3 linked regions of the Coturnix japonica genome follow. The protein of the gene in region 3 purifies or fractionates together with the protein of the main gene of each other region. This does not show direct contact. Links are inferred from orthologs where the notes say so. Each region holds a gene or a part of one and is shown on either strand. Other genes may lie near its edges. The genes, in order: ATG7, SIRT1 and FOXO1.

The links.
Region 1: the proteins of FOXO1 (region 3) and ATG7 purify together in Homo sapiens (affinity purification with western blotting; 4 studies listed by BioGRID). This does not show direct contact. The link is inferred for Coturnix japonica from reciprocal best matches to the Homo sapiens genes FOXO1 and ATG7.
Region 2: the proteins of FOXO1 (region 3) and SIRT1 purify together in Homo sapiens (affinity purification with western blotting; 5 studies listed by BioGRID and IntAct, with this or other methods). This does not show direct contact. The link is inferred for Coturnix japonica from reciprocal best matches to the Homo sapiens genes FOXO1 and SIRT1.

What each region holds. Positions count from the first base shown.
Region 1 is NC_029527.1:2,881,947-2,885,594, reverse strand, and holds part of ATG7 (ubiquitin-like modifier-activating enzyme ATG7), read right to left. Parts: intron 2,783-3,648; coding exon 2,588-2,782; intron 1,594-2,587; coding exon 1,390-1,593; intron 1,127-1,389; coding exon 1,011-1,126; intron 287-1,010; coding exon 211-286; intron 1-210. UniProt on the Homo sapiens protein: E1-like activating enzyme involved in the 2 ubiquitin-like systems required for cytoplasm to vacuole transport (Cvt) and autophagy.
Region 2 is NC_029521.1:8,449,481-8,453,228, reverse strand, and holds the start of SIRT1 (NAD-dependent protein deacetylase sirtuin-1), read right to left. Parts: upstream 2,663-3,748; 5' UTR 2,509-2,662; coding exon 2,046-2,508; intron 1,898-2,045; exon of another isoform or gene 1,644-1,897; intron 417-1,643; coding exon 300-416; intron 1-299. UniProt on the Homo sapiens protein: NAD-dependent protein deacetylase that links transcriptional regulation directly to intracellular energetics and participates in the coordination of several separated cellular functions such as cell cycle, response to DNA damage, metabolism, apoptosis and autophagy.
Region 3 is NC_029516.1:152,516,710-152,520,457, reverse strand, and holds the start of FOXO1 (forkhead box protein O1), read right to left. Parts: upstream 2,311-3,748; 5' UTR 2,095-2,310; coding exon 1,489-2,094; intron 1-1,488. UniProt on the Homo sapiens protein: Transcription factor that is the main target of insulin signaling and regulates metabolic homeostasis in response to oxidative stress.

The sequences.
Region 1 (3,648 bases), on a different chromosome or scaffold from region 3:
TACTATACACTACAGGTAGTGTTGGGATAGAAGTACTGCCAGCCAACACTATAGCCTTGGCTTGCATTATCCTTACTTAATTATTTTTTAATCCAAACATGGAGACTCAGTCCCTTCTGGGAATGGAATCGGATCAGCATAGAGTACATTTTAAGGAGGTACATCAGTACCAAGGTTTTAAATGAAAGCATTTTCTCACAGATTTCTTACCTGATGAGGAACAAGTCCAAGAGAAGTAGGTGGCTCATTCATTCTATCATCACTACTGCTGGCCACAGCATAACCACTGACAAAAAACCAAGAAGGAAAGTTAGAACAAGACAACATACTGAACAGTCAAAGTTTCCAGTAAGCTACAAGGCACTTAACTGCAGCCTGCAGTTTAGAATCTGGAAAGTAAGTTATCTGGAAAGTTTGCTTCATAGTAACTAAGCTCTAGCATGGGAATACCAAAATCTTCAGAACCAGAGACTTAGAATTCGAATGCAAGGAACCTACAACTCCTTTCACGGATTTTAAAGAGAAAATAAACCTAAATGTCACATTAGAAAATTCCAGAGACATTTGTGTCTCACATGCAGTTAATTTTAATTAGGATTTTGAAGCATTCGGCTTATCTTAAAGCCTTTCTTGTGACAAAAGTAGTTATGTCAGCTCATCATTACACTCAAAAGCTCTCTTGTGTAAAGGATCTATTAACAGAAATCACTTTCTCTTTTGAAATGTTCTCAGTACTTTGATACTTTTAAAGTCACAGAAAAAAAATTGCCAAACTCCAAGACAAAACTTTGCTTTGATCATTTGGTTCTCTGTGAAATAATGGTACACTACAGTAACACAGATATTACATGATCCATACTTTATATTAATTTTGTAGGCAACATAATGCATTACAGAACTTCCCTTCTTAATGTGTACCTCCTCCTCCTTCTCCCAGTAGATTATATATAATAACTCTGATTTCTCAGGGAACATCTCTTTAAACACCACTCCTCTCAGAAATGACTCACCCTTCTGGATGCTGTAAAACAGAAACCATTAATTCCACTGCAAGAGCTCCAGCTATCATGGCTAATCCAGGTCGACTCACTGTACACTGCTGATCCAATGTCCTATCCCTGGTAGACTAGAATGATAGATAAATTAAAAAAAAAAAAAAAAAAAAGTAATGCAAAAGTAATTTAGTTGTTCTTCTAAACAATATATCTTCAGTGACTTGCAATTCATTTTCCCCCCCACCAATCATCCAAGTAAAAGACAAACTGTTTCTTAATCCAATGAATATCAATATAAGAGGAATCCCTAATGAAATCCCATTTAAAGGAAATAAAAATTCAGTTCAACAGGAGAGATACATATTTGTCACCATTTGCATAACACTGTACTCACATCCCCTGGTGCCACGACGTCATTGCAGAAATAGCAACCCAGTTTGTAGCCAGGGATATTTGAAAAGAGCGATGAACCCAAAAGGTCAGAAGGACCAGGGGCTGTGTTGAAACATGCATTGCCAGTTTCTTGCTGTTTGGGTTTCTTTAGTCCATGTCTCATAACAACAAACGTGTCAAACCCCAGGGCAGCATTGATGACCAGCTACAAACAACAGAGAGAACAACAAACCTGAAGTGAGCCAAAAGGGGAGGGTAAAAAAGACCTCCAGGTTTCATTCACTGTATGTATCAAACAAAAAAACCTACACAATCTCTAATCAGATGATAACCTAACACCTACCTATTTAACATCCTAGCCATAAAAAAACTCAGATTTTCTAATATGTGCTAATTCCTAGCTGCCAAACATCAAAAGAAATACAAAAATGTTTCAGAAGTCCTGAAAACATCTTTTTCCTTTGACTTTCTGGGAAGTTTGATACAAAAAACGACTTTTTTTTGTTGCAGAAATTTAGGCACACTTGTAGACAACCCTGCAACGCAAAGTCCATAAGCACATTCTAGTTTGCATTTGAAGACAACTTCAAACCAATACACTGCATCTCACTGAAGTGACTGGAATTGCTATGTGCTGATATGGATCAACATCCCCATATTATGGCCTAATACTCATATAGTAATTAGTACTGCTATTGGAATAATTTATGTTAGTTCCACCTCGGAGTTTATTCTTAAGTTTGCTACATATTCTGAACCAAACATTGAAACTTCGAGTGTTAAAATACACCAAATACCACTTAAGTACAACAGTGGTGATCAAGAATAACTTTTCATGTCATTTGAGATACCAAAAGTATTCTTTTAACTGTCTGAAATAACTCCTATGTGACAAAGCACAGCACATCTGCTATCCAAAAATAAAATATATATATTTTCTCAGTGAGGAAAGCATGTAATTATTACTTATGGTCTTCATATGCATCTGTTTAGTCACATGCGGACTAAAAGCAGCTATGATACAAAATTACTTTGTCATCATTTCCCCTTCTCTTTTCAGTGTGACAAGTGTTGAGAGTAATCTGAAGTTCCATATGAAAAATAAGCAGATAGAGAAAGTTTTGTTTAAGGATGACTTTATGATATATGCAAAAGCTGAAATGCAGTAACGGGATTATTAACAAGATGCACTACAATACCTTCCTCTTGCTGGCTGCAATAACAGCAGGAAGCCATCGACTCTCTCTAGTGTCCATTAGTAGGAAAACAACATCATGAGCATCAATAAGCTCTTCAAGTGTAGCCACATCCTTCCGAGCCTGTGCCATTGTTACTTCTGAAAAATTCACTGGATGGCCTGGCATAGGGATGCTCATGTTATAGCCTTCTGAATTCTGCATGGAGGTAGAGAAAAACAACAGCATATAGAAACAAACTTTTGGGTTAATAGAATTATTCTGAAGTGCAACACAAATTGTAGGGCTGCTGCTTGGCAGAAAGGCAACTGAACTCTTATCATCCCTTTGTATACAGGTAATGTAAACTAAAGTACAGTGCAAAAGTTTGAGTGAATGGCAGTCTCAGAGGCTGCATTTATCCAGAACAGAACAGCTCAATGCAAACACACTGGTTTGGATTACAAGAGCAGACAAAAAACATTCAAGTAGCTTTGTGCCTCAACTAAACAGCCCAGCTCTCTCAGAAGGCTTATTAGGTCTAGCAAAGCAGCTCCAGAGGACAGCTGAACCGTTTCTAGTCCCAAAGGGAACCAATGCAATGACAACTGTTACTTCTTATTACTACAAGTAACTCTCCAGTCGACACTTACGCTTTTGTGAGCCTCATCACAACCTCACAACTCCACAGCTTAGCCTGGTATTTTGCTTTCCTGTTTGTTTTCAAACAAGAAAACTCACAATACAAGTTTCCGATGTTTCTGATGTGCAAAATCATGCTTTCTATATTATTATTTGGGATTTCACAAACAAGCTTTATTTCTTCTAATTCCATTAGTCTTTCCTAATACACCCGTTTTTATTTTTTCAATTTTCTTCTCCATTTAGAAAAAACAAAAAATCATATGACAATTCAATCAGAGCTTTATCTTAGTGCACAATTTGACACTGTACAGATGCACACTATTCCATACTTGTTCCCCCATTAAATATTTCCATAACTGAGTATCACCAAGTAACAATAGCACAGAAAGGCAATCTCAATTCCAAAGCAAAAATAAATAAATATGAACAGCTGATAGGTC
Region 2 (3,748 bases), on a different chromosome or scaffold from region 3:
CAAACTAAAGGTAGCTACATTACATATGGAAGATAACCATCAGCAAATACGTTTACCTAAAAGGTACTGAACAGTGAACCCATAACGAGGAGAGCAGTAACAACTAGGTCAGGTTTTAAGCGGAGCACTGCTGTTCTGTTCACTGTTCTTTCAATACCACACAGGATACAGGCAGTAATTAATGAAAACTAAATAATTTATATTTCTTCTAACAATTTTCAAACCAACCGAAGAGTAGGAAGAACTAAGCAAGTGTTCAAAGCCAAGCAGCATCTGAGAATAATTACATAGGCTTCTACCTATACGTGGTCTTGGGGTCCAGTCACTAGAACTTGCATGTGAAGCTCTGTCATCTTCATCACTGTCACAGGAGTGGAAACCATTGGCTATGATTTCATCGCTCAAAAGGAAGTTATCTGCAAGACAGCACAACAATGGAAGTTACAAAACTGAGCCAAGCAGCACAGTTCATGCACATTTAAATGCATCACAAAACCTAAAGTTGTAATTCATTGCATTCAGCTGTAATAGCCAACAAATAGGCAGTTTCATCACTTAAGTTGGTTTTAATTTTTCAGCTTATTAACACATTTTCAGGCCTCCGATTTACTGAAGGATTTCTATATTAATACTGGCATCAGTGGGCTGATGTTGACATGAATGAGGCATTCATTATATGCAGTGTTGGTTACTGAGTTTGTCTGTACCTTCACCGAGAGTGAAGTGTTTTAAAATTACCACTATTTTCTCATGCGGTTCTCACTTCATCCAGCTCTTACTGTGAAACTGGTAAAATCAATGTTCCGCACCTTATAAAACAATCTTCAATGGGGTTTTAAGAGCCCAGCATTTAAAAGCGCGCACAAGCACACAGCTGGATAGAGAGGAGAATGTTGCTGTGCTGTTATCTTGCAGCTGGCCACACACACACTCAAATGGTATTTCATTTATGACACAAAAACGTGCTGCCCTGAACCACCTTCACTAAGTTTATCATCCGCTGTACCTTGGGTTTGGCTTCCAGCACTCTGCTTGTGGTCCTAAGATGGAGTAACCCAATCTAACTTCATCACGCACCCAGAATAAGGGCTCTAGAGAGGACTGGGATACTCATTATGTCTTACTGTGATTTTACGTATTTAAAGCATCACAATTCTGTCTGGTAACATGTGAAGTCAGTGAGCATCTTACACAGAAAAGCTTTATGAATATGAGAAACATCCATCGGCACACTGTTCTACTACAACCAGTGTCTGCCATGTGAAGTCAAAGTCTGTGTCATTAACGACTCAACACATCATCACAGATTTATAAGATGTGACACCCAGCCTAAAGTACCAGTTGAAACTTAACACTCCCCAAGGAGCTGTCTTGATTCTTCAAAGAAATAAAAGGACTTCTTGCCAGAGACAGCCAATACAAACCAAAACACGTCTGAGAATCTGAGTGACTTGAGGAATAGGCTCTACATAAGGCATTTATAATAGAAATCACTTCCCAGGCAAAACGCGGTCTCTTACAGCATTTTAAAGGCCCTTCCTAAAGCACTACCTTAAAAACCCCAAAGCCTCCCGACCTGTCGGTCCCAACACAGCGGACCGAGCTCAAGTGCTGGTGCTGCCCAGGCCGTGCTCCAAACCCACCTGCAAACACAGCTCCCTGAGGGTGCAGCACTTTGCGCTTCAGCTGCTGAAGCCTAAGACTAACTCGAAGCTACTTAAAGAGCGGGGCCGCACAACCGCTCCTGTCCCTTCCACGCAAGTTTTCAAGAAGCAGAAAGAAAGCGACCGCTCCCATCTCTGGATCATAGTTTGATTCCGTAAGTCAATGGGGCTTTGGGTTGTCATTTCTAATAGCGCGCTGCCAGCACCGCGGCCGATCTTAGCATCGCGCCGAGGCCCGGCACGAATAGCGATCGGAGCGGGGAGGCCCGATCGGAGCAGAGAGGCCCGGGGCGCCGCAGCCGACGGGCGGCAGCCGAGCTCGGAGCTCCCCCTCGCCGCGGCCGCCCCGGGGCGGGACGGGGGATGGGGTCGGGTCCTCACCGGGCTGCGGGGCCGGCGCTCCGCTCGCCCCGTTTGAACGCTGCGCCCGCTCGCAGCCAATGGCCGCCTCCGCCGCGTCTTCTCCGGGCGCCGCCTCCGCCCCCTCCCCCCGGCCCCGCTGCCGCGGCTGCGGAGGCGGCTCCGCCCGGGCCAGGCCCCGCCGCCCGGCCCTATTGTCCGCGCCGCTCCGGCCGCCCGTCGTCGCGCCGCCGTCCTCCTCCTCCCGCGCCCGGCCGTCTCCGTGGGCGCTGAGGGCCGCCTCCTCCTGGCCCGGAGGTTCCGCGGCGGCGGCGATAGGCGGCTCCTCGCCCCGCTCGGGGCGGTGGGCGGGCGGCGCGCCCCAGCCGCAAACGCCGTGTTCCGAGTCGAGGCGCTGGCGCTTGGGCGCGGGCTCGGCGCCGTCGGCCGGGACGCCGGGTCCGCCGTCGCGGTGGCGGAGGAGCGGAGCGTCCCCGTCCGCCATCTTGGAGAAGCAACCGCCGCCGCCCCCCTCTGTGGCTCCGTCCCGCCCGGCGCAGCGCGCAGCAGCGCCGCCGCCACGGGCCCAGCCCCCACCACAGGGAGCGATTTAAACACGGCACGTGACCGCGCCGCCGCCCACGCGGGCGCCCGCCCCGAGGAGGCCGCAACAACAACAAACCGGGTCACGTGAGCGGGGACACGGAAGGGGGGGGGGGGTCAGGTCACGTGGCGTCCGGCGCCGGCTCGGCCCTCGCGCGGCCTGGCCTGCTGGTCACGTGACCGCGGGCCCTGTTGTATTACCTACAAGCACAGCAATCCTGATCTAACCTTAATGGATACAAAATTCGGTATTGTTTTGTTTAATATTACTGCTTAGTGTCGCCAACTAATTACATAATGGCTTCAGCGACTTGAATCCAATTCAACTTGGTGGTAAGACCAATATTAGACAAGTAGAATTTCTCCCTTGCACACCTTGATGGCATCAGCTGTAATGATCTGTACTGGTGGTTCAGTTGCACGTACCACGCTTCATGTGCATCAAAACAAGAAGTGATAAGATGTGAATCAGAGCAATTCTATCACTGTCTGCAAATCTGTCCCAAAGTGTTCGTTGTGTGTGTTGAAGTTGAGACAATCAGGTTTTGAGGCATAAAAAGGAAGGTGTTGTGTTAGTAATGGTGTTTGGATGCTTATTGACATGGAGATCCTGTTCTAAGACACCACGTAACTGGCACAGGTGGGCGATCCAAAGCTTTCTGTGAAGCTGTTGGTGAGGAAATGAATCGAGGGCCCTAAAGCCGACTCTAACCTTGCAAACATTTGCTCATGCAATGATGATGTTGCAGCAGTTACCCCCGGATTGGGAAGTCAGTTTGGCGGTGCTTGGGTCCTCTTCTACTTCTGCATCTCTGAGTGTGTGTGACCATCTGAAGGTGGAACATGCAGAACTTACAGAATCACAGAATTGTAGGGGTTGGAAGGGACCTCTAGAGATCATCGAGTCCAACCCCCCTGACAAAGCTGGCTCACTACAGCAGGTCACACAGTTCGGTGTCCAGGTGGGTCTTAAATATCTCCAGAGAAGGAGACTCCACCACCTCCCTGGGCAGCCTGTTCCAGTGCTCCGTCACCCTCACTGTAAAGAAGTTCTTCCGCACATTCGTGCAGAACTTCCTATGCTGTACTTTCATCCCATTACTCCTAGTCCTGTCCCCACGCACCACTGAAAAGAGACCAGC
Region 3 (3,748 bases):
AGCACCAGTGCAATCCCGCATCGTGCCAATCAGCCTGTCAAAAGGAGAGCATACACAGCAAGGCACATGCAGGACATATCTACTGTCAGCGTATCTTCTGTGCCCTGCCACAGAGTACATCACCCAGCAGCTCACTTCTGTACAGTACGGCACAGCATAGGTGTGTGGGCATAGGAAGAGGTGTGTGAGCCCTATTAGTTGTTGAAGCAACACAAGAAGAAGCACATCATCCATCGGGCAGCAAGAAGAGCTCACATTTGCTTGCTTGAATTTGGGAGCTCTTTGATTAAATTTGCTCTGTTTTAAGTCTCTTCTGCTCATGGTGCAAATGCAGTTTGCTTTATTTCCAGCCGACCAAAATACAACTGAAAAAGAACCCAGCGTCTTTGAGAATCTTCTGTGATTCTGTGAGTGCTGAGTTCCCTTGTCTCAAAGTTGTCACCCATCAATCACTCCTCTCCTAGGGACGCCTTGAGACAATTATTCTTTACCTTTTATAGCCAAACATGTCGATAGGAACTAACACATTACTTCTAAGAGCTTTAAGAGCCTTAAAACCAAAAAGGAGTTTGAGGTCCTCACCTACGATTCTTTAGTAGGGCACCTCTTACCTGCACAAAATAATGACGTCTACAAAAATCAGATGGAATAACCATTTCGAGGTGTGCAGTTAATACGTTACAATATATAAATATCGGATTTGAGCTTACAAATAAATAAATAAAGTAAATATTAAGAGATACTGGGAGGTAAAGGGAGCAAAACTCGAGAACGGGCAGAACCGGTGCGGAGCCAGGAGTAGGGCAGCCCTGTGCCATCCCTGCAGGGAAGAGGAGGAGGAAGATTTGGTGCGAGGTTCTGGCCGCTCACACGCAGCGCTGCCGCAAACCCCGTTCGTCGGCACCGCGGTGCGCACCGCACGCGTGGGTGAAGCCGGGAAGCGGAGGGGCTGAACAGAAAGACCCCAAATCAACAGGTTCTACACCGGTAGCCCCGCTGCTGGCCCGCACCGAGATCGCAGGAAGCTCAGTACCAACGTTTAAAAGGACGCACGCTCCTGCAAAGCGGGCTGAGCGCAGCCACCGGGACAAACAGAGCGCTTACTCATTAAACACACGGTACTTCTGCAACCCTTGTCCTGCCCCTGCTCTTTCCCCATCGCTGTTTGCCTCTGCCCCATCCCCGTCTCCCGACGGCTCCCCCCGGATCTCCCGGAGCCGCTCAGCGCCCGCAGCGGCGGGGGGGGCCGGGAGGAGCCGCGATCCCTCCTCCTCGCCCGGGGCCGGCGCCGTGACACGGCGTGAACTTTTGCTTTCGGCGGGGCAGGGCGAGGGGGGGGCCCTCCTCCCAGAGAGAGCCGAGCCTTGCGGGGGGAGGGCAGAACCGCGTCTTTTTTTTCTGTAGTTTTTGTCTTTTTTTTCTTTGCTTTTAGGGAGGAAAAAAAAAAAAAAAAAAGAAAATGCGAAAGGAGTCCCGTCCGGCCCTCACCTTCCAACCGGCTGAACTGTTACTGTCGCCCTTATCCTTGAAGTAGGGCACGCACCGCACCATCCACTCGTAGATCTGGGACAGGGTGAGCCGCTTCTCGGGGGAGCTCTCGATGGCCTTGGTGATGAGGTCCGCGTACGAGAGGTTGCCCCACGCGTTGCGGCGCGACGAGCTGCTCTTGCGGGGCTGCCCGGCCACGGGGCCCGGAGACAGAGCGGCCACGGCCGGAGGTACCGGCGGTACCGGCGGCGGTCCCGGCGGGTGCAGGCGGCAGCCGGCCTCGGGCGCCGGGAAGTCCCCGCAGCGGCAGGCGGCCGGCTCCGGGGGGGCGGCGGCGGCGGGGGGCAGCGCATAGTCCTCGTTCTCCTCCACCAAGCAGAGGTTGCTGATGAAGTCGGCGCTCAGCGCTCCGGAGGCGGCGACGGCGACGGCCGCTCCGGCCGCGGCCGCCCCGTCGGGCTGCCCTCCGCAGGACGGCGCGGGGCTGGAGGTGGCCGAGCTGGGAGGGTTGAACTCCGGCCGCGGCAGGGGCCAGGTGCACGAGCGGGGCCGCGGCAGCGGCTCGAAGTCGGGGTCGATGTCCACCAGCTGCGGGGCCTCGGCCATGGCTGCGGCGGCGTCGGCGGGGGGCAGCGGGACGGCGGGGGGGCAGCGGAGCGGGCTCAGCACCGCCGCCCCATGCGAGCTCCGAGCGCGGATCTGCGCGACCCCGACGGCGCGGCGCGGCCGACGACTCCACTCGCGGTTCTCGACCTCGCGGGCTCCGGCCCCGCCGCCCTGCCCGGCTCCTCGCCCTCGGCGGCGGCGGCAGCAGCGACCCGGCCGCCCGGCGCGCACCGACTGCAGAGCCCGCCCCGCCTCCAGCCTTCCTCCTCCTCCTCCTCCTCCTCCCGGCGGGGAGGGCCGGCCCGAGCCTCGCCAATGGCAGCGCCGCACCGCCCGCCCGCCTCCCGCCGCGGGGCCACTGCTGCGGGAGGGTGCCGGTGCCCCCGTGCTGTTAGTGGGCGGTTTGTGTGTGTTTGGGGTTTGGGTGTAGTGTTCTGTTTTTTAAGGGGGGGGTTTGTTGTTGTGTTTTTTTTTTTCCAGCGCGAAGCCGCCGAGTCCCGTTGGGAACGAACTCTGTCGCCGAGCGGGGCCGGGACTGTGCGGGAACGTCCCCGTATGGGAGCTGCCCCCGGCCCCGACGGCAGCGGAGCGGAGCGGCCCCCCGCGTGTGGCGGAGGCAGCCGCAAAGTTTTGCCCGTGTTTGAAACCGAGCGGATGCCGTCGGCTTTGCCGGGAGAGGCGATCGCAGGGATGAGATCCCTTACAACACAGCCGATTTTTTAACGAGATCTGCCTCATTTTCCGTAACGCTTTAAACAACCCACTGCAGCCTCAGCCTCGAAACCCTCAGCGAGCCCAGAGCCGGGCGCTGCCCGTCCCGCGGTTGTCCCGTCCCGTCGGGCCGTGGGCTGTCCCCGCTCCCCTGAGAGTGTCGGGGTTACTTAAATATAGCTCGTCGCTCCTCGAAAAACATACTCTACAATATTAAGGAGAAGAGTACAGTAGGAGACTGGATTTAGGCCCACAGATTGTACCTCTACGTGCGTGTAAGCGGGCAGGACCTGCTGGCACTGAACGTTCTCCAGCACTCTAAAGGCGACCGCTGTTGGCTGCAGCCTGTCGCACTTCGGAATCCCTTTTGCTTTAAGTCCCTTCTGCGTTTTCCAAAGCCTGCTGAGGACTCAGCCAGAAGCTCGGTACCGTTTCGCCCACAGGTCTTTTAAAAGTTCATATATTTTTATGTCTGTTTAATGGAGAAGAAAAGCGGAATAGTAGCTGCTCACACTCTCTGTGCCACGTCCCAGCCCCGGGGAGCGATGTGTGCCCGCGCTCCCCAGCGCAGCTCAGGACAGCGGGGCTGCGCGGGGTGGGATGCGAATGGGTGCATTGGAGGGAGCTAAAGCAAAAGGGGATAAACTAACCCTTTCCTTTTACTTTCCCGGTGTCTGAAATAAAAGCCAAAGAGCCAGGCCGGCACCCATCGTGCTGGAGGAAATGCATTTATTTCCAGCTTTTGCTGCTTTTAGTTTTTTCCATAACATTTCTGTTCTCACCAGACCTCTGTTGTTACACACATCTTTCCTTCCGTACGAGCTGTGCCAACCAGAACGAAGGCTGCAGAGGACTCCCCGGTCAGCACCAGCACATCCCCAGCCCAGCCCGTGTGGTTGTGCAGCTCACGGCCACATTTTGCAGGTGGGCATCTCTGGAGTTC